4 linked regions of the Schizosaccharomyces pombe genome follow. Changing the gene in region 1 together with any one later gene gives a genetic interaction. Each region holds a gene or a part of one and is shown in the gene's direction. Other genes may lie near its edges. The genes, in order: but1, btb1, trm82 and atp12.

Region 1 (3,565 bases):
CCATTGTGCATTACACCTATTGATTCGTCTACTCCCACAAAGACAGCTACGTTTTATACTTCATCTACAACTGAAAATCTAGATGAGCTAAATTTTTCAACAGAAGAATTATCAAGTTTTGACACTACTTTGTTAAACTCAGATACGAGCAAATTGTCTGGGCTTGACGATAGTAGTTTTATGGAAGAGGAATTTGTATGGCAAGTTGACAACGTTTTGCAGGAATGTGAAAAAAAATTTACTCCTCATTCAAAGGGAAGTTATTTAAAAGAGAATTTAAAGTCAGAATTAAGGAAGGGTCGTTTGGATGAATTGATGTGTGAAAATACCGCCTTAAAAGAAAAAATTGATAAATTAAATAAGGAATTAGAGAAAGTTGAACCTCAGTTGACATTCCTTCGCAGTAAAAACAGTATTGAAAAACCTCGGAATTTTAGGCGTGAAAAGTTTCTCAAAAAATTCTTGGCTATGCAGAAAGAAATAAAGTATCTAAGAAAGCGAAAGTTGCAAATTCGAAAGATTCCTAATTATAAGTACTCTGATCGAAGTTTGAATTCCAAAACTCCTAAAAGCCAGGACAACTGGACTACACAAGTTACACCATCTAGTCTCCTTGGGGTCTCAGAGGTTTCTAAGGTTTTGCAATTAAAACAGGTTCAGGTCGACATAACTGAGCTTGTAAAAATTCCTAAAAACCCGTTTTCTGAGAAATTGACAATATCTAACGTGAATAGATACTTAAATATTGTACCGGGAAGTTTGGATTTACAATTTTCATTAACAAATGAAAATTTTGTACATTGGAATAGCACAGTTTATCAAGAATTATTAAACTTAAAGTCCAACAACTCTTCAGTGGATGGTGTGAAGACAAGAAGGCAACTGTTGGAGGAAAATGCTTTGTTGTCTCATAAAGTATTAAAACTAACAGAAGAAATTCAAGACTTGGAAACTTTGAATCAGCTAAACACTGAAATAGAAGCAAGACAATCGGAAAAGTTAAATGAGGTGCAAGAGGAAACTCAAAGGCTATCTCAGTTACTAATATCTTCTCAACCTGCTTTGACAGAAGTTAAACATTTGAAACTATGCTTATCAGACTCTCAAGAGGAATTATTGCAATTAAATGCAAAACTTGAGAAAGCAAATATTGTAATAGACGAGTTAAACAGTGCAAAATTGAAACTATCAAAACAAGTGGAGGAGGAAAGTAGTATGAAAGACGACCTTACAGAAATGAACCAACGTTTAAAAGAACAAATTGAATCATACGAGAATGAAGTTAACTCTGAAATCACTTCTAGAACATTGAAAGAATTTGAAACATTAAAGACACAGTATGAGAAAAATCTTTGTAATTTAAGAGAACAGCTAAAGACCGCAAGGATGAAACTGGCCGATAAATATCCACAAGGTGACAATACTAGTGAAAATATAGACTGGCTCAAACACAGTTTACGGGATTCTAATACTGAAAACTCAATTCCAAGCCCATTGACCTTTGCCTGCAAGGAGATAAGAAAATTAGTTGCAGATATTAAACCCGTTTCAGTAGAAAAGCAGCTGGCCTTGAATTGGAAAAAAGATATCGAGCGACCCAGTTTTCATCACAATCAACAGCTATTTAATTATTGTCAGTTAACAGACATTCTTTCCAAAAAATGCTAATCTTTTAATGAGATATATAATTCAATTTATTAATAGCCGCCGAAAATTAGCTTCTAATCTTAACTGCCATATTTTAACGAATTTATCATTAATGTACTGTATGGTGTTGCTTTAAGTTTAAGATCGACTTGTAACCTCTTTTGTGACCTGTTATGCATTAACGAAATATGGGGTTGAGTATTTGATTGGTTCATGTTTGTATTAAACTAACGTACTTTTGGCCAATTAGATCGACTTTGAAGATTAATTGTCGACGTGAGAATCATGTAAATAAACAAGTTTACTTACCCTAAACCAACCACTTTAAGAGTGGGAAACTGCTTGTTTCACATTGCACGGTAGCGATATTATTTTTTTTTGTTACCTTTTTTCTATTAAAGCGTATCAAGCGTTTCTTCACCTTCTTGCAGAGAAAGGGTTAGAAAATGGAAATCGACCAAAACCTTTTCCAGTTTCCCATTTCGACTCGTGATGCTGTTCACGAGAAAAATTGTACTTTAAGAGTTAAATCTACAAAAAAAAGAAGAAGCTCTACGAAAGATGAAGAAACGCGTGGTATGCATCCCCATATAAAGAGTTCGTTTAGGAACGGAATGAACCATGCACGTGTCATTAGGGAAGAAGATATGGAAGTAGTATTTGAACCATGTTTCATTAATCTTTCCAAACCCGTTTACGTTGTAAATGGTATCGGTGGAATAAATGAAATTCATAAATTACCTATACTATTCTCTTCATTTGTTCTCTGTTTCTTTGGTAATGTCAGCGGTGATTATGGTTATGTTGACAACGTCCCACTTCACATATCTGTCATTAGTCACTTTTATCCATGTCTGCAATCCTACAACACAGATGTGATTGGTATCACTACTGATACGGTTGAAAATATATGTCAATGGAAAGCCCATCTGCCTCGTGCTCTACAATTTTCATTACCAGTTATTTCGGATTCTAACAATGAAATTTGTAGAGAGATGGGAATGCTGCATCCTCTTGGAGGAGCAAAATTAGCTTTGGATGCAATTGTAATTATAGATTCCATAGGGCGTCGACGCGACATCCTTCCCATTCGTACTACCACTTGTGTATCTACTTTAATAACAGCAGTTCAAGAAACTGTTCGATTTTTGGCAATTGAAAATGGAAGGTTGCTTTAAAAGCCTTCTATGATGATCACTCGTTCAAAAAAAAAATGACAAACAAAAATTTTTTTACGTTTCAGCAAAAGTTGATGATATTGTCACACATAAAACCACAAAACATGGGTTCAATGGAATAGAAAATACTTTCTATAAATACATATATATATATTTAATATTTCACAAAATAAATTACAATGTACCATAAATTATGCTGTCAAAAATTTACGATAAGGTACGGATGGGTATTTATTAAATTTTTCAAAAAAAAAAAAAAAAAAAGTGTAAGGAATAATTTATTAAACTATGATATCTTTAACAAAAAAAATCAATGAACCAATAAATTAAATAAATAAAAAAGTCAACTCTGATTATCAAATTATAAACATCACCGATATCAATTTCAATCAGTCAATAAATAATTTGGCATATTCTTTTTGAAGCATTTACTTTTTCAGAACAAAGCCAAGCTGATAGATTTTAGTTTAAATTCCTCTATTCAAATAAAAATGACAGTGCAGGCTTCTATAGTATTATTTTGTTCAAACAAAAGTAATCAAAATTTGAGTAATAAAAAAAATGCAAAAATTAAAAATAATCAAATATTCTCTCCCTCCGGGATTCGAACCCGGGCTGCAAGCGTGACAGGCTTGTGTACTACCCCTATACTAAAGGAGATCGTTGTAAACTAATCTTTATAATTATATATATTTAAGAAATATAATTATATGATATAATTACAGTTGGTTTATTCTTGT
Region 2 (6,698 bases), on another chromosome or scaffold:
GTGTGCTCAAAAAATTAATTTCGGTTTTTAATAGGTAAGCAATAAGCAATTTAATGAAATATCTACTTTATGTATCTATCATTGTTTTATGATTACTTCTTGTTGCAATCTGGCAGTAGTAGATTAGTCGCCCAAAATTTCAAGTTTTGTTTATTTATTTATTTAGAAGCAGGTTCGTTTTTTATATGTAAACTAAATTTGGCTGAATTGAAAACATTGTCAACAAATTATATATATCTTAGCTGTGGTAATGTAAAGAATCTGGTAATCCACTTCGTATTGCAACATCTACTTTTCTCGCCAGTATACCAACCACACTGCAACCTCATGCTATTGAATATAGTCTAATTTCTCTAAGACAGTAAAGCAAGTTTTAAAAGTCATATGTTTTTGATCTTTTTTAAAGAAGTTTCTGTTTTTTGAATTATTTTGAAGAAAATTATTTGTATGTAAGTTTGTGATCGATGGATAGTCATCATATGATGGAAAGATCGTTAACCTTTGAAAGAAACTATTCTCATTTATTTATAATAATATTTATAATAAGAGATATGAGCAGCTCGAACTCCCGAGTGCATGAGGAACAGCCTCCAACAGAAAATCGCAGATATGCGAGACCTACTGCACAAATGAATCGAGTAATTGAACAACAACCAAGGCGTCGCGATTACTTCCAAAACAATGACAACTCTGGTCGCAGAGGTTATAATAGGCATGAAAACAATGGTAATGCGCAGGATGTGGTACGTTCACACTATAACGCGCGTCCTGATTTGGGTTATAAAAAACGACAATTTTCTCCTATTATTCAACTAAAGAGGTTTAACAACTGGATCAAATCTGTTCTCATACAAAAATTCGCACCCCATGCTTCTGATTATCCTATTTTGGTACTAGACATGGGATGTGGAAAAGGTGGTGATTTAATTAAATGGGACAAAGCTGGCATTGATGGATATATTGGGATTGACATAGCTGAAGTTTCCGTAAATCAGGCCAAGAAGAGATACCGTGAAATGCATGCTTCTTTTGATGCACTATTCTACGCTGGCGACTGTTTTTCTAGCTCAATTAACGAATTACTTCCCCCAGACCAAAGAAAATTTGACGTTGTTTCTCTACAGTTTTGCATGCATTATGCATTTGAAAGCGAAGAAAAGGTTAGGGTCTTGTTGGGGAACGTTTCTAAATGCCTTCCTCGTGGTGGAGTAATGATAGGAACGATTCCCAATTCCGATGTAATTGTCAAACATATTAAAATGCTTAAACCAGGAGAAAAAGAATGGGGAAATGACATATACAAAGTCAGATTTCCTGAATCACCTCCACGCTCTTTTCGACCTCCGTATGGAATTCAATATTATTTTTATTTAGAGGATGCTGTTACCGATGTTCCTGAATATGTAGTTCCTTTTGAAGCCTTTCGTGCTGTTGCCGAAGGATACAATCTTGAATTAATATGGGTAAAACCTTTTTTGGACATCTTAAATGAAGAGAAAAACTCTGAAACGTATGGACCCCTAATGGATCGAATGAAAGTCGTTGATAATGAAGGACACCGTGGAATTGGTGGACAGGAAAAAGAAGCAGCAGGATTTTATTTAGCATTTGCCTTTGAGAAGAGGGGAATTTAGTCTTTTCTTTCCTTATCCCACTGATTCACTGTGCAGACCGCATTGTAGAAAGATCTTTCACGCTCGAAAGATCAGTACAGTGGTAGAAAAAAAGATGACTTTAAAAGATGTAGATTAATTTTTGATGGCAATGACTTTTATTTATTTATTCATTTTTATGCCTTTATTCTTTCTTTTTCTGTTTTCATATATTTTATACATAAGTAACATGCTCTCTTTCATTCCAGCTTAAGCGAATAAATAAAGTATGCTCCCAGGCATATTTCATCAAATCAGATTGCCCCAAAAATTGCCTCAAATATTAAGCGATAGCTTAAATCAATGCACCTGTCGGTATTCAACTACCAGCATCCACTGCTACTCTTCTTCCATTTTTTCTTCAGCAACAGTCAAGTTAAAAAACTGGAACGTTTTAATTGATTTGAGAGAAAATTTCTTATGGAGTAATCGATTGATTAAATGATAAATTCACATTGCGCCCTTTTTTAGTCTCGATTGATTAAATGAGTCATCTGCTTTTCGCGTATTACCTTTGCAACGACATTCGCTCATTCCAAAATCTACTGAAGCAAGATGATTCAAAGGTGAAAGAGCCTAGAAAGGGTTTTTCGGAAAAGAGCGGACAAAAACTCCGTATCAACCAAAAAGATCGATACGGACGCACCGTGCTGCACATCGCCGTTTCTGAGAATAAAAATTCCTTTGTTAGATCTCTTTTGCAGCATAAAGGCATTGATGTTTTTGTGCAAGATGAAGAATCTGGATATACGGCGTTGCATCGGGCAATCTACGTTGGCAACTTGGAAGCAGCGTCTTTGCTTTTATCAAAAGATCCCTCCTTCAGATCATTGCGTATTAAAGACAAAGAAGGTCTTTCTCCATTTCAATTTTTATCACGAGTCCTTTCAAGCACTATTCATCCGGTTCTTGACTTACCGATAATAGGAAATGAACTTTATGGCTTTGGTACTAACGTAAACAATACGCTCGGAATAGCAAATGGGAAAGAACCTTCATCGCCAGAAAGAGTGTTTTTACTGAAAAACCAAACAGAGTCTCCCACATCAGGTCAACTCTTTTCCCGAGACAAAATCCTTGATGTGCAGGCTTCCAAATTTCACAGCGTCGTACTAACGGATGAGCCGTCGCAAAATGTTTACGTATGTGGTATTGGTGCTGGAGGGAGAATAGGTTTTAACACGGACGTTCAATATAACTTTATTCCTATTCCTGGTATCATTCATAAAGTTATCCAGATTTCTGTTAGTCATACCCATTCACTTGCTCTTACAAAGTTCGGAAGTATTTATTCGTGGGGAAAGAATGGTTCTGGTGAACTGGGACTTTCTAATGACGAACTGAAAAAGGATGATCCAATTCAAATTACCCCTAGGCGTATCTCTGCATTCAAGGATTATCAGATAATTGGAATGGCGGCTGGAAAAAGTTATAGCGTTGCTTGGACTGACACTGATATTTACAGCTGGGGGTTAAATAATGGCCAATTAGGTATATCTGATCATATTTCAGTTGTTTCTACTCCAAGGAGAGTTGCTGGCTTATTATCGCCTGTCATACATGCCGTTTGTACTACTCGTGCTACGATATGCCTTTTACAAAACAACAGTATAATTGCCTTTTGCAATTATAATCAAGTGAAATTGCCATTCAACGTTGACTTTGGTAGTTCGTTAAAGGTAACTAAGCATCCTCTTTCCCTCACCAGATTTAACGTTAGAAAATTATTAGCTTCAGAAAACAAACTAGCCGTGCTTACAGAACTAGGCGAAGTCTATGAATTTGATATGAAGCTTTTACTTGATCGTGATTCTACCTCTTCCAAGAATTCCACACGAACTTCATTCAAATTTACTCCATTATGGATTTTTGAATCTTCAGACCTTGCAGCTTTAGATATTGCGTGGACCGCTGATAATTCTTTAATACTATGTACTAGAAATGGCACTTGTTGGAAACGGGAGTTAAGGTCAAAAAAGCGAGAAAAGTCATCTAGTAGCCCGTATTCTAGAGGACCATACAAATATAATAGAATTGAAAATTTACAAATGGTTGTTGGAGTCCGTGCGAGCGCTTCTGGATCATTTTTTGCAATTCGAAATGATTATCTTCCACCGCCAATCTACAAGCCTTCGAATATGTTAATTGATCTTTTGCGCTCACTACTTCCCTATGACCACCTTTTACATGTAAGACAACCACGTTTGATTCCTCCCGAAGATGAAGACGGAGTCCCTATTTTTGACGAAGACCGCGCTGCATCCAGCAATGAGATGCAGCTACTTTTTGAAGGATCTATACCGATTCTTACTAGTTATGAAAATTATAAGCAATCATTTTCTGATGTTACTATTTATTGTGGTACTTCTATGTTCCACTCACATAAGTTCATATTGTGTGCTCGATCTTCATTTTTGAGAAAATTATTGCTACAAAAAAAGAAATCGAGTGTCTCCAACATCATTTACATTGAAGAAATCACTCAATCTCATTCAACAATTAGAGTTGAAGATATTCCTCCTTTAGCGGTTGCTATTCTTTTGCATTATTTGTACACGGATACATTGCTTTCTCCATGGCATCTTGATTCACGCTTTTCACCTTTAAAAGAAAACCTTTCAAAACTTGCAAACTTACTGGAGTTACCTCATTTAGCGGAGGTTTTACCGTTTAGTGTTTCCCGCCAACCTTTGCTTTCTTTAACGAATGACATTCTGCAACTATATAATAATTTTTATGTCTTATGCGAAGAAACAATGGATACAGTAATAAAGCTTAAAGATGGAGAGCTCAAGGCACATGGTCTTTTTTTAAGTCTCCGCAGTGAATACTTTAGTTCTTATTTCCAATTTGTTTCTATGGAAAGCAATAGTTTTGACATCCCAATAACCGTCAATTTGTCTCATTTGACTGTTGAGCATATGTCAATTGTTCTTCGTCATGTATACAGTGACTTAAAAGTTGAGCTTTTTGACGATTTGAAAGAATCCGATTTTCATAATTGGTTGGAAACTATGTTCGAAATTTTGTCTATTGCAGACGAGCTTCTTTTTCTTGAACTAAAAAGCATAGCCCAGCAATCCTTACTTCGCTTTTTAAATTTGAAAACTCTACCTACTCTAATGGATCTTTCACTTAGTTATCACGCTGAGGAGCTTTATTCACGATGTATTGATTATGCTTGTCACAATATTGAATTCTTTTTGGAAGCAAATCGTATAAGTGAATGGGATGGTTTCCATTTAAAAAAAGTCGCTCAACGTTTAACTGAATTGCTTTCTGATCAACGAGTACATCTTCCTTCTAGCAAGATTGCTAATAGATTATTGATAAGAGATCCAGTGTTGATGGAAAAAAGAAATTATGAGCTTAAAGTTCTCAGAGAATACTTGTTTTCCCAGGAAAGTTCTCAATTATGGGACGATTCCCCTTATCGGTCTATTTTTGAAGATCGTCGATGCAGCACTTCAGCAGTAATTTTAGAATCTGGAATTGTTCCTTCAAGTAATCAAAGTGATTCATTAAATAAGGAAGATGCTGAGGAGAAGTCTCCTAAACCAAATGTTGTTAACGTTACGAGCATTACAAAGACAGCAGGAGCTTCTGTTGAAATTCAAAACAATATAGAGTCTGCTTCGTCAGGAGGGGATAAAACACAATTAAATGGTCCTGGGGCTGATCAACCTGTTACTGCAACAATTACTTTTGACAAAACGAGTCCATGGAGGAATAGGGAAAATCTTTCTCATAATAACAACACTACTAGAGCTAGTCTTAGAGAATTGCTGGAGCAAGAGAAAGCTGATGCTTCAACTACTACGGTTTTGTCTGATTCTAGATTTATGAAAGCTCCAACTAAAAAATCCCAACGTGAGAAAAAAAAGGAGCTTTCAAAGCAAGTGCCTATTTCCAAAACAAATGTTGGCCACATCGATATCGAGTTGGGTAAATCGAATCACTCAAACCCTTGGTCTGTAGCAACACATCAGAGGGGCAGTTTTTCGTCATCAACTGGAGTGAAAAAGTCATTTAATGGTATTCTTAGAGAGGCAGCTCGAGAGGAAGGTTCATCTCAAGTAATTTATCAAGAATCGAAGAAGCGCATTTCCAATGGTTCTCCAACTAGTTGGAACCTACTTACTAAACCATCTCCCCGATCTGCTTCTTTACCAAAAAATAGCCAACCTTTATCGATTTCGGAGATTATGACTGAGCAGAAAGAAGAAATTGAGAGTCAAAAGAGGAGATCATCTTTTAGAAAAACAATTGAGGAGATACAACAGGAAGAGGAGTTTCAAAAGTGGTGGGAGGAGGAGAGTTTGAGAGTACAGAAAGAACTTGGAATCCTTAAAACTGAAAGAGATACCTCTACGAATAGAAAACAGGGACAAGCTTCTAAACAACCTCAACGAAGGCACAGAAAGGAAAAAGATTCCAAAGTGTCAGAGTCCACTGCGGAGTTTAAATCTCTTCCTATTGATATACCAAGGACTACTCACAAGAAAGGAAAAGCACGTGCAGTCAAATGACCATAACAACGACTATATACAAAAAATTCAGGACATTAATTTATTCAACTTATGAAGAGATACTTTAATAGATATGTATAAGAAAAAATATTTGCTACATGGTGAATTATTTATTAAGCTTTTGTTTCACGATACCAATCACACATTTTACATACGCTAAAAATTCAATATTTGAAAATAATAAAATTGAATAGGAAACTTTGGTCATAAAGAAATTCAAAGCACGTACGGAATGAATACAAGAATTCGATATACACGGTAATTTATAGTGTATCAAGGACAGATCCAATTGTAGTGGAAAAATTATAGGAGAAATGATGCTGCTTCGTAAATTCACTAGAGAAACCGTGACAAGCAATTACAAAACGAGCAAAGATAAGGTTTGTTTCCATTCACCTAAATCATCGCAAAATAGCCAGAGGTCAAAACGGAAAGGGCAAGAACAGCATAACCGGTACGATAGACACCCTTTAGACTTAACTCCTTGGTGGTATCCCAGATCAAGTGACGAATACCG
Region 3 (4,357 bases), on another chromosome or scaffold:
GCTCAGAATCTGTATCAATCGCAAGAACGAAAATGACCGCCAAATGCAAATTATTCGAGTTTAACGTTACATAAACGCGCAAATCCACGAACAGTATGATCTTTTCAATACAAAGAATGCAGAGATTTAAGGTCCTGTTGGGTTAATAGAAAACTGTTAGCAAAGTATGTATTTAGGCCAGTAAACTGCGATATTTTTTTTACTGAAATACGTTAGCATTCACAACTGGGCTTACAGTTTCTCCCCTAATATATCAACGATTGAAATCTTTTTAAGATAATCTAACCTTTTATTTAGTCGAATAAAAATTTCAATTTTCTCTTTAAGCTAAATTTGGTTGAAACTGCTTTTTTAGGTCGCTTGGATAATTGCTTCCTTTTCTCTTTCGCTTTAAACGACTTTGAATCTAGATGAAAAATGGTTTACAACTTTACATTTGTGATGATTACATCGTAAATATTTACATTGTGCCTATACCCAATTTTTTTTCTTCGTTTCTTTAGCCACAAGCGTTAGTTGAAAGTATTGTTTACACAGGAAGGGTTGAATCAGAAACATTGTATGTATGATAGCGTTATATTAGTAGACAACACTTGTAGGCAAACCTATCCCGAAAAATTTTATTTTTAAATATATACATATGCTAATTTCCAACAATAAGCAGTCTACTTTCTTTTCCGACGATGTTTTTTTCTTTCACCAACATCACCTATTATGTTTACAGGTAAAGTAGGTTCATCCGTTGTATGGTTTTTTGATGATCTCTTTTTGATGCTTAAAGGGTTAGGCCCTTTAGGACCCTTGCGTTTTTTATTGGCTTTTGGAGCAGAATCCTCTGTTCCCGCTAAATCCGTACTTTCCTTGGTATCTTGATCATCGATAGCCAGTTCATTCGCTGAACGCTTTTTTCCGGATAATAACAACTTTTCCTCTTTTGACATGCCCATCTGAACGGATTCTTTGTTGTGCTTTTCTAATAACGTAGCTCGTGAAGCTGGTTCTAGTATCACAACTGACCTTTTCATATATATAAGTGGAACACCTGGGACCGAACGAAGAGCTTGCCTAAGCTCGGGGTCTTGGGTAGCAACAACATAGCGGTGCTTGTTCCGACCATTAATGTTGACTACACTCTGAATACATTCTGAAGGAGAGAGTGCTTCATCAATATGACCACACCTCCTTCGCTCAAAAGACTTTGCGATACGAATTTCTTGCTTCAATTCATCGGATTTACTGTACAATTGCCGAATACAACATTGAGTAATCACTATAGTCAGTTAGTAAATCCGTTAGTTATAATAATTTACAAGGAGAACATAAGGAAAGAAAATAATAAACCAGACCCGGATGAAAAGATACTATGTTGAATAATTAAACTTTCCGTTCTGTTTCATATTCCGGGGGTTCGCCCTTTTTTCCAGTAAAAGAAAACACTTATAAACAAAACTTACTAGGTTTTATAGCTCCTTGAACAGTCCTAGCTAATGCAGCTTGTATATCAATCTTTTGTTGAGATAAATCTTTTAGGAAATCTGCATCCACTAAAAATCATGTTAGTTTAATAACATCACCAAAAAGAAAATGCTTATTGTTTGCAAATTAGAACTTGGGTAAGGATGCATCTTTACAAGCATCATTTTCTGTACCACATACCGAGTACTTGATATGGTTCACGAAATCCAAATAAAAGCTGATACGTATGCATCAGCTTTCTGTAATTCTTTGCCCTTTTTTGCCTCATATTTACGCCCTTTTCTGTGCGTCACACAGCCTAAGACTTAATATGCTTTAGATCACTTGTTTTTTTAAGAATTTTTTTTTTCGCTCAAAAACGAAAAGTCTTTTGTTACTATTAGAAATATTAAAAAAATAAATTCAATCGTATTAAAAGAAGTATCCAGGAACCCTAATATTGCTGAAATCCTCTTATTAGGAAATTTCCAACTAGTTTGTACTTTCCAAGTTCACCCACGTACTAAAATTTTGGGCGCTTTAACTATTTAACTTAAGTGAGATACTTGGCTTCGAACTGAGTGTATACTTCTTTTATTTCTCTATTTAGATAAATTTGTAAGGAAACGGTATTAAGCAGAAAGAGGATTCAGTCTATTATTTACCCTTATCATACTTTTTCTTCATTTCTACTGCGTAAATAATTTTAAAGCTTTGCTTTTTATTATTTGAAAGATTTGTCATTATTACTTTCTTTCTTCTAAAGCTTCTTTTTCTTCTTTTTATAAAATTGTAAATATATTCGGATCCAAAAATTAGAGGTTTATTTCTGAAGTGTTTGTTTTGTTGCTTCTATTTTCTTAAGAATCAATCAATAAAAACATGAGTGAACAGCGAGTTTTTAAGCACCCTTGTCAATTTTTAACATGGAATTCTAAACACAATTACATCGTGTGCTGTTCAGGTCCATATCTATTGGGGTTCTCATGCTCTACAGGGGAAAAAATTTTTGAACATTGTTATAGAGACAATATAAATGAAAAACATAGAGAGGCAGCTGCCTATGGAGAAGCGATTCGTCAAGTCGCATTTTCTAAAGACTATTCTCGTATGGCAACAGTTAGTGAAGACAAATGTTTGCGCCTTTGGGATAGCACTCAGCCTGATAAAATTGAACTTCTTTATCAAAAAAACATACCAAAGCGATGTGCTGACTTGTGCTTTGCGGGCTCAAACGAAATTGTTTTTGGTGATAAGTTTGGTGATGTCTATTGTGTAGACGAAAATTGGTTTACTACTTCTGAAGTTACCGAAGAAAAAAAGTCAAATGTGGTTGAAGGAAAACAAGAACCTGTTAATAATGACACTTTAAAGGATTCGAAATTGCAAAAACTCGAACCCATTATGGGGCATGTTTCGATCTTAACTCAATTAATAGTTGCTCAAAATCCACAAAATTCTAAAGAAGAAATAATCATTACTTCAGATAAAGACGAGCATATTCGTATTTCCCGATTTCCCAATGCATTTGTCATTGAAGGGTTTTGCTTAGGTCATGAAGAGTAAGTTTTCATTTGGTTTTAGTTGATCAATTTTTTTTTTTTTTTTTTAAATAACACTAACGCCTTTTCCTAGTTTTGTATCTAGGATGTCCTTATATGACAATCGTACTCTAATATCTGGCGGTGGAGATAATCACGTTTTCGTATGGGATTTAGAGAATTTCAAATGTTTGGATGCATTCGATCTACGATCTGCCTTTTCCACTTATCTCTCATTAAATCAACCAATGGTGGTTTCAGTTATTCTTCCTATTTTTAAGCGCCAGCTTGTTGCTTTTGCGTGTGAAGGAATGGCGGGTCTTATCTTCGCGAAGGTGACACCTGAAAAGAGACTGTTGTTTCATTCTGCTTTGAAGCTGTCAGGGCCTGTTCTTGACGCTGTTTTGCTTGACACGGATACTGATCAAATTCTCATTTCTTTGGACTCTAGTTTTACATTTGGTGCATGTTTTGAATGCGTGAAATTTGATGAAGGGAATGCGGCTGTTCTTACGAAACCCGATGTAATAAAGCGTATAGAATCTGATGGTTTAATATCAACCGAAAAGCCGTTCTGCCCGCTCGCTCAAATTCACACATTACGCAAGAACCACTCTAAATTCATTCGCAGTGTTGAAACCGGTACATCTTCGCCATCCGTTGAATCTAAAGATAATTAAAGCTCATTTTAGGGAGACCGGCTCAAAAAAAATAATTGGGAAAAGTGGGAGCATCAGTAAATATGGAAAATAGATATGAATAAAAATGATTGTGACATTAAAGTATAATAGGGAGAGCATTTAATTTCTTTGGAGAAACCCAGAATTTTGAAGTATAAATACAGTCAGCGATTAATAATTATGCGAATAAACGCAACTTGTATCTACTGCATAAGTGCAACTGCTATTCAGTTGTGCAACGTCAGCAATTTGAAGAAGTAAAATTAATCGTTTATTCAATTCCTTCCATTTACATGCTACGACAATACTTTACATAATACTTGCAACGGCAAATTGTTTTTAGAAGGCCTAAAGAACACGAGATACATCCATTAGTGCTATCTAACAAAAAAAGCTTAGTCGAAGAGACCGAAACCCATGTCCTCATCGGATTCCTCTTCCTCTTCAGCAGCAGCCTCGGCAGCGGGTGCCTCAGCTTCACCACCAGCAGCAGCAGCAGGAGCAGCGGCGACTACGAAAGCAGAGGGATCAGCAAGGAAAGCCTTAGTCTAAAATAAAGTTAGTGAACTGAGTACAAAAATAATTTAATGATTCAAAGAGTTTAATTGTATACAAGCGTTCAGCAAAAAATTAGAGTGTTTAAACTTTGCGCTCATGAAAATTTAGCGAGTTAAAATAATC
Region 4 (3,849 bases), 3.0 Mb from region 1:
TTTACTAAGACGAACATAAGCTGAAATACAGCGATTTTTAACCAAGTTCATATAAATCATCTATTCCTGCCATTAATGCCAACAACCCCATTAATTGTCTATTGCTGTAAGCGTAAAGTACTATGGAGACTGATCAGTCAAAATTAATCAGAAGCATTTAAATAATACACAATTTATAAGGGAATCTAAAGTACTCTTAAAACACCGGAAGGTGTAAGATTGACAAACAACGCTTGCTCACGTCTCGATAGCTCAGCTCAGGTATTGTATAAGGAAATATAAGGATGGTACTAAATATGTTTACGTAGTGCTATGTGCGCATTCAATTTATTACCGCGACGTATCGAGTGTCAAAGAACTACAGATAGTACTAGTACTTTTGCCATTCGCTTACAAAAAGCGCATATCCACATAAAACTAGCATTTTCAAATTCATCTGTAAAGTCAAATAATTCCAACCCAAAAGGACGGTTAAATTTTCCTTACTTTAATTTATTCTTTTTTTTTGAATTTGGTAAAGCAATTCTCGTACGTTCATTTCATTTTTTTTTCATAGTTTCCAACAATGTCTGAACGAAAGGTACTTAACAAGTATATCCCGCCCGATTATGATCCTTCCATTCGTCCTCCTAAGAAAAAGAAAAAGTTTCAAGGACCAAATGGTGGGAAATTGACTGTTCGTTTGATGACTCCATTTTCAATGCGCTGTCATACTTGTGGAGAGTATATATATAAAGGAAAAAAGTTTAACGCTAGGAAGGAGAAAACCGGCGAAAAATATTTTTCAATTGATATATTGAGGTTTTATATTCGCTGCACTAGGTGTGCTGCTGAAATAACATTTATAACCGATCCAAAACATGCAGATTATGCAGCAGAGAGTGGAGCTTCCAGGAATTATGAGCCGTGGCATGAAAAAAGATTACAAGAATATGAAGAAAATGAGTTAGCTGAACGCAATGACATTCCTGAGGAGGACGAAATGGAAAAATTAGAACAAAAAACATTAGACACTAAACGACAAATGCAAATTAGTGATGCACTCGACGAACTACGTGAAAAGAGCGCTCGAAGGTCTCGAGTTAACATTGATGATGCAATCGCTCTCTTAAAGGAAGATGCATATGGATCAATTGAAGAAGAGGAGTCCAAAAAGCGGAAATTTGAGGAAGAAGAAATTGATCGTGAAGCTAAATCGTTGTTTTCGTCTCAGGATGGTGAAATTATAAGAAGATTGAATGCAGAAACAACGGTTGAAAAAGAATTACCCAAACCTATAGATTTGGTTTCTGAGAAGCTGGCCACTTCCAATATACCGAATTTTCAGCCTCCAAAATATGCAAAAAGGAAAATGGAGAAGAAAAAGGTTTTGGTATAACGTCTATAAATGGCTAAATTTTTTAATTACTTGCATTTTTTATAGCTAAGCTATTAAAAATGTACATGTTCTTTTGTACCAGCGCAAGGTTTTTATTGTAATAATATTTAATGAGTTTTTGATGGATTTTCATAACGCGAGTTGATAGTCAATATCCTGTTCTAATTTTTATTATTCGATTAGTAAATGTAGTTTGTTATGTAGAATAATACCGTAGCATTTATAGAAAGGTTTTATTTTGTTTGTATCTATTCTTCAACTTTAAGTTTTTAACAGCACATGTTAATTGATTTTTTTTAAGGTTCCTTCTAATTTTCCGAGTATCTAATTGTAATTTATCAATTTACATTTACGGTTTGTCAAAAAGTAGTCTTAATCGTAGCTAAATTCAAGGCGGCTAACGTAAACAACGGTTTAGGAACTATGATAGGAACGTCTATTAATTTATTTTAAAAGAGTTTTTTCTTGCTTAATTAAAAACTACTTTTAGAAAAAAATATTAAAACTTATTCTCATCATGCCTGTGACAAAATATTGTTAGACTCATCTTACATAGTAACCAATATTTTGGAGAACACCAACTAAAAACGTATATCATAATAATTAACTCTTAAACAATAATTAAAAATTAAATTTTGGCAGTTTGAAGTACGAAAGATTTTTTAGTGTCTCAGATAGACACCTTGAATACCCTTTTTTTTCTATTTTTGTAAGATGCTTCGATCTTTACAATTTTACAGATTATCCAGCAAAAACTTGCTGTCATTTAAAACGTGCTATTCGTTTTACTCTACAAAAGCTTCCTCTCCTTTGCCGCAACCATCATTCAGGAGATTTTGGAAGAATACAGCTACCAAAATCCAAAATGGAGAAGTCTTGATTCAATTAGATGGACGAAATTTAAAATCACCTTCTGGGAAGATTGTTAAGGTACCTAAAGAAATGGAGTTACTAGCACACTTGATTGCCCTAGAATGGGATCGATTACCATCAACCTCTGTTCGACAACACAATCTCCCAATTACTTCCCTAGTTTCGAGAGCTATTGACATATCACAATTCAAAAAAGAAGAAAAGGAACTACTTTCTACTCAATTAATTCGTTTCCTTGACACCGACACAATTCTAATTTACTCCCCCGAAACAGAATATGAAGGGAAATTGTTGGAGGAGCAAAAGGAAAATTGGTGGCCACTGAAAGAAACCTTTGAAAACAAACTTGGTGTGCAATTAAGCTATTTGGATGGTGATGCTGGTATTATTGCCCATAAACAAACGCAGGAAACACACGAACGCATAAGAAACTGGCTCAGCTCGCTGAACTCTTGGCAACTAGCAGCTTTTGAAAGATCTGTTAGTTGCTGCAAGAGCTTCATAGTTTCTTTCATGATTTTAAAAGGATATTTGAACTCTGAAAAAGCTGCCGCTTTGACGAACTTAGAACTTCAGTACCAAACAAATCGATGGGGCTCTTTGGAAGATGGTATGTATAAACTCTCTATTATTCTAATGTTAAATACTTACAACTGCAGCTCACGAAATAGACAATGAGGATCTTAAGAATAAGTTGGCCAGCTCGGCAATACTCTCACGGTGCATAGAAGACATGCATGACAAAAGTAATGAACATGCCCACTAACGGCTATACGCAAACTCAAAAAATTACAAAATTTTTGGAATAGCTCCCTCTGGGTGAACTCAATTAAGAGAACCCTACAACTGTTTACTTAAAACACTGCACATTGCCAAATTAGAATTATAGAGTAATGTTGCCGTCGTTGAACAGAGAATTCTAAATTAGTTTCCTCATGTCGAATATGCTGAGCTATTATGTCAGTTATCCTTCAGACCAAATTGTTTTGACAAGGTACCCAAAATTAATTCATGAATCAATGTAAATGAATAAATTAAGATAATCCTGCATTTTGTAATTTATCTTTTAGGTTAGATATCTCTTCTTCCTTTTGAGCCAATAGAGTCTTTGTCTCTTGTAATTCTTTCTTAAGAGGTTCTACATAATATTTAAGTTCCAACTGTACGAATGTGAGAAGCTCCCGAATCTTTTCTAAACGTGAAAGATGAATGCAATTTGTATCGTCGTGGTAAAAAGAGTCATTATTGTCAGTGCCTTGAGTTTTATGCTGCGAAGAGTCGAATACGATAGGCTTGTAGGATGCAGATAGTTCATTTAATGAAGACATAGGTGGTTTGTCATTATCAGGAACTTGGAATTTCTGGTTAGTGTTATTCAAAGTAGTTATACTATTGGGTTGTGAAGGTAATCCGATATAAGCAGGTGAATCATTTTTTGTTGGGGTTCCAGGTTCTGTTTCGGAAAGTAAAATCGGATGCCTTAAAGGAGATGTTATGTATCCAGAATTTGGGGAAGTTTTTTTAGGACTCAATTTGTTAGCATCAATGGACATAAGAGAGATGCCTCGTCTTTTTGGAGATAGAGAGTTGACGCTAGA

The links.
Region 2: mutations in but1 (region 1) and btb1 together harm fitness more than expected from each alone (negative genetic interaction), as found in Schizosaccharomyces pombe (one large-scale study listed by BioGRID).
Region 3: mutations in but1 (region 1) and trm82 together harm fitness more than expected from each alone (negative genetic interaction), as found in Schizosaccharomyces pombe (one large-scale study listed by BioGRID).
Region 4: mutations in but1 (region 1) and atp12 together harm fitness less than expected from each alone (positive genetic interaction), as found in Schizosaccharomyces pombe (one large-scale study listed by BioGRID).

Annotation. Positions count from the first base shown.
Region 1 is NC_003424.3:4,532,777-4,536,341, reverse strand, and holds but1 (thioredoxin family protein But1), read left to right. Parts: upstream 1-1,954; 5' UTR 1,955-2,093; coding exon 2,094-2,825; 3' UTR 2,826-3,016; downstream 3,017-3,565. Other genes in the region: dynactin microtubule-binding subunit, p150-Glued Ssm4, read left to right, coding at 1-1,668. UniProt on the Schizosaccharomyces pombe protein: Acts as a negative regulator of the NEDD8 pathway. Has a role in meiosis.
Region 2 is NC_003421.2:129,380-136,077, forward strand, and holds btb1 (BTB/POZ family ubiquitin-type ligase substrate adaptor Btb1), read left to right. Parts: upstream 1-2,015; 5' UTR 2,016-2,137; coding exon 2,138-6,181; downstream 6,182-6,698. Other genes in the region: mRNA 5'-cap (guanine-N7-)-methyltransferase Pcm1, read left to right, coding at 552-1,634; sdh3 (succinate dehydrogenase cytochrome B subunit), read right to left, coding at 6,578-6,698. UniProt on the Schizosaccharomyces pombe protein: Probable substrate-specific adapter of an E3 ubiquitin-protein ligase complex which mediates the ubiquitination and subsequent proteasomal degradation of target proteins.
Region 3 is NC_003421.2:1,976,558-1,980,914, forward strand, and holds trm82 (tRNA (guanine-N7-)-methyltransferase subunit Trm82), read left to right. Parts: upstream 1-1,963; 5' UTR 1,964-2,337; coding exon 2,338-3,017; intron 3,018-3,090; coding exon 3,091-3,676; 3' UTR 3,677-3,808; downstream 3,809-4,357. Other genes in the region: rRNA processing protein Utp23, read right to left, coding at 666-1,270, 1,455-1,544, 1,657-1,744; rpp0 (60S ribosomal protein uL10), read right to left, coding at 4,072-4,224.
Region 4 is NC_003424.3:1,486,299-1,490,147, reverse strand, and holds atp12 (F1-ATPase chaperone Atp12), read left to right. Parts: upstream 1-1,957; 5' UTR 1,958-2,092; coding exon 2,093-2,861; exon of another isoform or gene 2,862-2,910; coding exon 2,911-3,017; 3' UTR 3,018-3,285; downstream 3,286-3,849. Other genes in the region: cwf16 (splicing factor), read left to right, coding at 566-1,378; SPOM_SPAC9.11 (uncharacterized protein), read right to left, coding at 3,286-3,849. UniProt on the Schizosaccharomyces pombe protein: Essential for the assembly of the mitochondrial F1-F0 complex.